2 linked regions of the Neurospora crassa OR74A genome follow. The protein of the gene in region 2 interacts with the protein of the main gene of each other region in a pairwise test. Links are inferred from orthologs where the notes say so. Each region holds a gene or a part of one and is shown on either strand. Other genes may lie near its edges.

Evidence for each region.
Region 1: the proteins of NCU03039 (region 2) and NCU03261 interact in a two-hybrid assay, tested with the Schizosaccharomyces pombe proteins (7 studies listed by BioGRID). The link is inferred for Neurospora crassa OR74A from reciprocal best matches to the Schizosaccharomyces pombe genes prp2 and uaf2.

What each region holds. Positions count from the first base shown.
Region 1 is NC_026501.1:5,112,528-5,116,981, reverse strand, and holds the start of NCU03261 (splicing factor U2AF 23 kDa subunit), read left to right. Parts: upstream 1-1,344; 5' UTR 1,345-3,603; coding exon 3,604-4,230; 3' UTR 4,231-4,454.
Region 2 is NC_026501.1:8,349,036-8,353,443, reverse strand, and holds the start of NCU03039 (splicing factor u2af large subunit), read right to left. Parts: upstream 2,848-4,408; 5' UTR 2,711-2,847; coding exon 2,683-2,710; intron 2,625-2,682; coding exon 2,590-2,624; intron 2,523-2,589; coding exon 1,329-2,522; intron 1,277-1,328; coding exon 1,018-1,276; intron 961-1,017; coding exon 749-960; intron 689-748; coding exon 662-688; 3' UTR 1-661. Other genes in the region: NCU03040 (N-glycosylase/DNA lyase), read left to right, coding at 3,258-3,376, 3,458-4,408. UniProt on the Schizosaccharomyces pombe protein: Necessary for the splicing of pre-mRNA. The SF1-U2AF59-U2AF23 complex has a role in the recognition of the branch site (5'-UACUAAC-3'), the pyrimidine tract and the 3'-splice site at the 3'-end of introns.

The sequences.
Region 1 (4,454 bases), about 3.2 Mb from region 2:
AGGGTGTAGAGAGCGGGAGAAATCGCAGAAAGGTGTAGGTTAGAAGAGAGGGTGGGGGGGAGGAAACAAGGAAACCGAACCGGTCTCCTTGGAAGGTGTTACAGCAAAGGTACACAGAAGTTGGACCTGTGCTTCCGTGAGTAACTGGATGTTTGGGGGAAAAACAGAACGGAGACGAGAGACCGGAGATGAAGAGAGGGAATAAAAACAACAACAACAAAAAAAAACACTAGCGGACGGAGTGACGAGACTGAATGCTTTTGAGGATGGAAGCCGCGCAACCCCCAGCTGGGAAATGGCTAAAAAGGGTCCCACGCAGCTCAAGTGTGGAGGTGTCCAAGCCTCTTTCAGCTTGCTGCTCGTGCTGGTGCAAGCTGCTATTGTTGCTCTCCACGGCCTCTCCACGCAGCCTCCCAACACTCCTATTGGCCGCGTCCTGGCGTTCTGGAACTGGAGATGCCTGCCAGCCAGAACCTCCAGGGACACCCGTGGACATCCCGGGCGCTCTGTCTACACTACATAGTAGAGGTACCTACCCAGCTACCTACGTGTGGTGAGATGGCCAAGTAAAACCCGTGGGCCAGGTCGCTGACGATCGTTGACCATACCGCAGTGCCCTATACAAAACCACGAAGGGGCTTCGTTTGCCGAGCTACTTAGAGGTACCCTATGGTGGTGTGTGCGCGGTAGTTGACGAAGGGGTTCCATTTACTTTCGCTCGCAACCACAGTACGACCTTCTAAGGAGAGCTTCCATTCACGCTTTGCCTCGCAATTCACACTGCTTCGAATCGATATGGAGATGTGGTAGCCAGCCACCCAGCCAATTGGGAAACGACGGATCGAACGCTAGTAGGGACACAGTACGTCAGAAGGTCGAGCTCCGCTCCCATCGAATGAATGGCGGTCCACAAGCAATGGTACCGAAGTCTGAGCTTAAGGTGTGATCCTTGGAAGCGGCCTGGACGGCGGGTTGGGGCTGGGGGGAAGAGTGCAACACTCAAAATTTGGAGATGCGCTCCAAGACTCCCAGCTTGTCTCGCTTGCGTGGCTTCATTGTCGTGCACCTAGCTAGAACCTAGAGGCAGCCCAAGTGGCAATTAGCCCATATTATATACTCTCATTTCTCCTCTAGAATCACCAATATCCACGAGGTATTTTACCGGCAGTTGTGCCAGCTAGGTAAAGTGTTATAACATTGAGGTCTCGGCATTAATGGCCAAAATATGGGAGCTTAACAGCGGTGCTAACCCAGGCAAGAGCTTCCAGTCAGTAGAGGTATGTAATGAAGGGACCTACCTACCTACGTGCCCCGCAGATCCCAGTCCACTTATCGCTGCGCTTGCACTTGCCGGCTGAAATGTGCATGCTTTAGGCCGTGACTTGCTCCGAGTCAACAGGATCGCCAAAGCGATCACAGGGAACAGCGAAGCGCTGACAGGTCAGAGATAAAAGTTCGGCGGGCAAAAGGAAGAGGACAGAGATATAATGCGGACAAGTATTCTTTGTCTATTTCCACCAAAAGTGTGTGCTGCTGTAAAATCGTCCTCAAGATGCGTATGTCTGTTTCCGAGACCCCTTACCGGCCACAGAGTATCATCTCTAGGTATTACACCTCACCTCTATCGAATCCTGACGCCCCGAATCTGACGCCGACTTGATTCGGTCATCGCATCTACATCAAAGTTAATTTCAAGTATACAACCATGAACCCGCCGACAATCAAGGCTATCCAGTCTCTCGATTTGCTTCTTCAAGCAGATCACGCTCCGCACTCCATCACAGTTTGGATTCTGATTTCTTAATTCCAGCGTGCGATAATCCACGGCCATCTACGACCTTTACGCCTCAGGAGGCCACCGCATCGACAAATCGGCTGTTCACTAATAAACAGATCCCTGTCGCAAATCTCCCAACGCAGGGGTCTCGAAAGTGCCCGAGATAGACGAAGAATTCCCCTTTCTGGGTTGCCAACATGTGAACAAGGATAAAGCGACATCATCTCACCCAACGAAGGCCACCACTACAACGAACCTCACGCGACAATTGACAAATTATCTCCGGGCCTATCACCCGACTTGATATGAAAACTTTGAGACTGGCCTGCAACCAAGGGTCTGGCCACACAAAGACCATTCAGCCATCGTTGGGACCGTCAAGATCGGTGTTGGCTGTCCGGTAGCCAAAGTCCAAACAACTACAACACGACAAAACCGGGACACCGTCACAAAAAAAAAAAGAGGATTGGACGACACCCTCATCTCTGGTAGGCCACGTTCACCTATCTACCAAGTTAAAACACGCAAGAAGATTCAGCCGTGATGCACAGAAACGCAATCACTCCACGTGTGAGGTTGGACAAACGCTCACCAGTGGTTGCCCGCAACCGAGCCACGTCTCTTTAGTTTTCAGATTTCAACAGTACAATTTGCGCTCCCTGGATCAACAATCAGGCCTCGAGGATAACCGGAGATGGCAACTCCTTTTGACTGACTGTCATTGAGCTACTCGTCTGGTCGAAAAACGGGAAAGCAATTCATTTCCCACTGAGACTTGAGACTTAACACCTACGTATGTTCTTGACCGAATGCACAGGTGTGTCGTTGTTACAATGTTTCGTGTCCGGATCTTGTGTCATACCCACAATCTCCTACCCGCACCCGACGATAACGGATTGAGTGCTGGGCTCCATATATTTTCGTCGGGGTTTACTGGCTTTCGGTTCGCTGTGACTTGACTGACGACCGGCCCGGCCGTCCCGCGGAAGTATCGCCGATTTCAACAGCTGATGTCGTGTCTCGAGCTTGCCGGTCGCCGGGTCTGTTATATGATTCCGGCGCCGATGAGTTTCTCGAGGGCAACCGCTGATTGGGCAGAAACGTTGGATGACATCCGAGTATGCATGGTGATTTTACCTAGGCATTACTGCATGACGGGATTGCGCAGCAATCTAACGACGTCAAAGTAAATGTTTTGCGATATAGTTGTCCATGAATACTGTAGAGCGTAAACAGTGAAATTCGCGGATGACATATGCAGTATGCGACTTTTACGGCCACATTACCCGTAGCAACTTCTGGACGATGCCATGTGTTGTATGTTCGACAACCAGCCCCCATTTACTTGTCAGCCTCGCAGCCAAAGGCAACAACACTATTGGTCAAAAGCTTTAGTCAGCCACACCCATGTGGCGAAAGCTAGACGCGACTGAGGCGACGCGGCTGGGTTCAGTTTTCCACGACAGATTGATTTCATGTGCGACAACGCCGATTCTCAAATTCACCAACGTCGTAGCAACCAGGCGACCGGGACCATCCAGCATTTCTCGAAAACTGCGATTCGATCAACGATATTCTTCGAAAACTTTTTTTTCGCAAACGCAACCCAACGGTCTTGCTCACGAACGACGAACGAATACCCTCGACATTCATCAAACCGAGCAGACTTAACAAACCGACTCGACTTTTCGCCATCTCCCTCCTTCTGACAACGGACTATTGCATTGAGAGTTCTCCTAGCCTACCCATCACACAACCCATCAAATCCCCCATACGCAGCCTCGCCATCACAGCGAGATAAGAAAGAAAAAAAACAAGTCAACAAAATGGCCAACTTTCTCGCCTCCATCTTCGGCACTGAGCAAGACAAAGTCAACTGCTCGTTCTATTACAAGATCGGCGCCTGCCGCCACGGCGACCGGTGCTCCCGCAAACACGTCAAACCCAGCTACTCGCAAACGATCCTGATGCCGAACCTGTACCACAACCCCGCCTTCGACCCCAAGAACCGGATGAACGCGTCGCAGCTGCAGAACCACTTCGACGCCTTCTACGAGGACATCTGGTGCGAGATGTGCAAGTACGGCGAGCTGGAGGAGCTGGTGGTGTGCGACAACAACAACGACCACCTGATCGGCAACGTGTACGCGCGGTTCAAGTACGAGGACTCAGCCCAAAAAGCGTGCGACGATCTGAACTCTCGCTGGTACGCTGCTCGGCCGATTTATTGCGAACTCAGCCCCGTGACGGATTTCCGCGAGGCCTGCTGCCGTTTGAACTCTGGCGAGGGTTGTGTCCGTGGAGGGTTTTGTAACTTTATACACCGCAAGAACCCCAGCCCGGAGCTGGAGAGGGAGCTCGAGCTCAGCACCAAGAAGTGGCTCAAGATGAGACCGCGGAGCCGCAGCCCGACGCGCTCGCCCAGCCCGGAACCGACTAGGAGACGGTATTAGGAGTTGCGGTGTTTCATGCTGGACAGAGTTGACGGTGGAGGACGGACGGCGATGCGAAACAGACATGGGGGTGTTGTAGTTTTTTTTTCCACGAACCAGAGAAACGAGAAGAGAAGACAGAGGTCGGTCCTGGCTCAGTGACTGGAAGTCAATGTCAAGAGGCAGGCTGCACATTTCGCGCGGGGACAGGTGGAATGAAGACATGGTTTATGAATGAGAATATG
Region 2 (4,408 bases):
TATCCTATTCACTTTGGTAAGCTTCTCACTGCTCCCTCTACCTTTTTTCCGAGCCTCCTTATCCTGATGATACACACTTTATACTTTATTCTGGTACCTCTTATGTTAAAGTTCCTTTTTGGGACTTGATGAATTAAACGGACTTCTGAAACTTTAGCTTTCGCACTCGTCTTGTTATTGCATAATTCGAGTCGTGCTCAGGCTAACGTTCCTTCAGACCTAGGTACCAATTTTTAAGCTCGAGACTGTGCGGTCGCCATGGCATGCAAACTGAGTTCATTGTCGCGGGCGTTGGTTGGCGACCCCGGACATTTAGACTAAGATAATGATAAACAAGTGATCCCAATGCAACTTCCCTTGTGCCGATCGATGATGTATTTGTAAACCTTCGGCATGTAATCAAAATACACTTCTGAGTGTATTGATGTTGTATCCTCTGTTTTTGAGCGCCCTGACTGTACCGCGGCTGAAATCCCATTAACTTCTGTACACGCCGCTGAGATCCCAACGATAACTTCGAGGAAATGACCGAACCTTGATACTAATGACGTTCTGATTGTTTCCTCGTTGTCAATCAACAGATCACGCTATACCATGCACGACTACTGTTCTTCCTTTCAGTACAGTCAAACATATCCCTTCTCCTACTGCCTATCGTCTTTTACCAGGCGTTGACATCAAAGTTCTCCTGTAGGATTTATCAGTATAAACGAGCGAAGCAAATCAGAGCAAAGCTGATGAAACTAACCTCAGGGAAGTATGTCGCAACCACCGTGCGGTCAGCAAACTTCCTGCCCGCCAAAGCTTTGAGGGCCTTTGTTGCTTGGTCGGAATTCTCGTATTTGATGAAAATCTTGCCAACACCAGCAGACTGCCTGCTTCCGCCAGTGGGTCTGGGAATCTTTAGGGAAACAATAGTTCCGAACTTCTCGCATTCTTCCTGGACGTCGTCGCGAATTTCTTGAAAGCACACGTTAGCATCTTGAACATGTGTAGTGACAGAAACGCTGAACAAACCTTCGTAATCGTCGTTGTCCATCAGCTCATCCGCTGTAACCATGTTCAGGAGCTGCACGACCCTGCTGACGTCGCCATCCAAGGAAGTGGTACCAGCAAGCATGGACATGGCGTTCACACTCAGTTCTCCAGCTACCTGTTGAATGCCATAGCTGGCCTTTTGAACCTTCAGCGCCCTATCGCCCAGCATCATGTTGTTGAGGCCGTCAATAGCAACAGATGTGACCGAAGAATCGTGATACTCGCAGAATGCGATACCCTAGGACATGTTAGCATGTGCGCTCGTTGGTAGAAAGGACCATTAGGCTCACCCTTGACTCCTCCGTATGCTTATCCTTAACCAACACAAAGGACTTGAGCTTGCCAAAGGCAACCAGGAGCTCCATGATTTGCTCTTCGCTCAAATATGCAGGGATGTTGGTGACGCTGATCTTGTTAGGGCTGTCGATGACAATGCTGGAAGGCACCTCTGAATCAGGGTCGTAGTTGGGGTCCTCGACAATTGCGGGTACGATGTAGTCCTTCGGCCTACGGATCTTGAGCCCACCGGCACCAGCAGCACCATTGGCATCCTCGGCCTCCATGGTGATACCGTCAAGGGCCAGAGCGACTGTAGCATCCGGGCTGTTCCTAAACTCAAGCATGGCGAAGCTGTGATCGGGAGATATTTGGCACTGGACGCAAGGATCGGCGCTGTCGATTACATTTAGGCCATTGAGCTGAAGGTTGAAAAAGCCCAACAGGCTCTCGTCGGTGGCTGACGGTGGGATATTCGAGACAATAAGTCGTTTGCTCTGGCGGGAGTTCGTAGGCTTAAGGGCAGCACTGTTGACAGCTCCACCTGGCTGGGTCATGAAAGCCTGAAGCTTGGTCGGGTCCATGGCCTGTTGTCGCGGGGCGCCAGGTAATGGGAACATACCCGAGAGCTTGGCCTGCTCCGCGGTGACGTTGCCATATCCGGGAGGCTTGATATCCCACTGTGTCATGCGCCTCTTGCGCTCTATAACAGGAACGACATCGGTCAAGTCGGGTGTCGGTTCCCTCTTTTTGGGGGGCGGCGAGACACTCCTCCTGCGCTCCCTGTCCGCCTCTCGGTCCCTTCTGCCTCCACCGCGGCGATCATCTCCCATCACGTCACGATCTCTGTCCCGGCGACGGCCGCCTTCGTCATCGTCCCTCCGGCTGCGACCTCCACGCTCGGCCCCGCGGTCAGCGCCACGATCCGCACCACGGTCGGCTCCACGGTCGGCTCCACGGTCGGCGCCCCTGTCACGATCCCACTCCCTATCACCACGATCGGGTCCACGACGGTCGCGGCCAGAGTATCGATCTTCTCGCTCGCGGTCGCGGTGGCTGCGGCTCGATGAATAAGCGTCAAAATCGCCGTCTTCGCGACGGGGTCGGCTGCTCCGGTAGTCGGCGGGAGAGCGAGAGCGTCTGCGTCCACTGCCTCGGTCACTGCGATCTCCACGGTCACGTCTGTCATCGCGGTCGCGTCTCGAGGACTGATAATAGGTTAGCTTAGGCCCACAGAAAAGACCGCTGTTAGGTTTGTATACGAGGCACACTTACCGGATAGTCGCGAGACGAACCGTGTCGGCCGCTGTCTGTTTCGCCACGGTTAAGTTGAGTTCTAGCGGATAGCCACGGTCAGTGCCAACATACCTCTGGAGGAATAGGTGTCCCCGTTCATGGTCAACACAAATCTCGTTAAGTATAAAAGAGGTGATACGAGATGGTTGCACCAAAGAAGCAGGAAAATGTTCTGAGGGTGTTTGATGAAAAGGAAAGTGGCTTTGCTTGACCTAGCTTCCAATTGCGAGTCTCGTCGATCGCGAGGCTGCAACTTTTCCAGTAGCCGTTGTTACTGCAGAGGGCGCTTGATCCTCTTTCGGCTTAGCGCGCTATGTTTCCGTGCGATTCGGTTCCACTGACCCATCCACACCGGGAAGTTTGACGCCCTGCAATGGCGTGGCAACAACTGAAGAGGAATTGCCCCTGTAGAGGTACCTTAGTTCCAGCAGATAGGTAACCACCACCGCAGGGCATTTGCAGCCCCAGTGCATTGCCCCCCATCAAATCCGGGTTGGGATTTTGGGTCCATGAGAAACAAAAGTGATAATCAATCTACCTGCATAATAAGGGATGGAGACAAAGAATTTCACATCAAGCCTCTATAGAAGACCCTTATATCCTTTTTGTCTTATCTGCAAAGTCTAAGAGTTTTTAATAAATACGATATGGCATCCCAGAAAGTGACAGAATGGCGCAAACTGCCTATCAGTCTCACAGAGCTCTGCATCGAAACCACACTCCGATGCGGCCAGTCCTTTAGATGGCGCAAGATAAATGAACAATGGTCCGAATGCACACCACTATCTTACTTTTTTTCTTTTTATTTCTTCTCTGTTCAAAGTATCAAGTCCTAACAGTTTTCCAGGCACTGCGTCCTCAAAGGCCGTCTCATCTCCCTAAAACAAGATCCCACCCATCTTCACTACAAAGTGACATGGCCTACCAGTACAGCAACTCCCAAAAATGAACACCCCCAGGACTTCGAAGACGACACGTCCGTCCTCCTCCACAACTACTTTGCCCTCTCTCACTCTCTCACTACCCTTTACGCCCAATGGTCTCTTTCAGATGCCAACTTCGCCCGGCGTGCGCCCGCTTTCACGGGGATCCGCATCCTTAACCAGGACGCATGGGAGACGCTGATCTCCTTCATCTGCAGCAGCAACAACAACATTTCGCGCATCAGCCAGATGGTGCTGAAGCTGTGTACGCACTACGGTCCTTATGTGGCCACCGTGGAGGGAGAAGCGTTTCATGATTTCCCCGGGCCGGAGGCGTTGGCGGGGGAAGGGGTCGAGGCCCATCTGAGGGAGCTGGGCTTTGGTTATAGGGCCAAGTACATTGCTGAGACGGCGGGGTGTGTGGCGCAGGTTTATGGGGAGAGGTGGTTGCTGAGGTTGAGGAATCCGGGTGTTCCTGCGTTGAGAGCGGCTGAGGAGGATATTTTAGTGAAGAAGGAAGAAGGGGCAGAAGAGAAGGAGTCTGTTGAATCCAAGGCTGACTTGGACAACCCACCGACCTACCAGAAGGCTCATGAAGCTCTGTTGACTCTGCCGGGTGTTGGCCCCAAGGTGTCGGATTGTGTGTGTCTAATGGGTCTCGGGTGGGGCGAGTCTGTTCCCATCGACACGCACGTTTGGCAGATCGCGCAAAGAGACTACAATTTTGGTGGGAAAGGGTCTGCCAAGACCAAGACGCTCAACAAGGCCATGTATGTGGCCGTAGGCGACCATTTCAGGAAGATATGGGGTCCTCAGGCTGGTTGGGCACAGAGTGTCCTCTTTACTGCGAATCTCAAGTCGTTTTCCGAACAAGC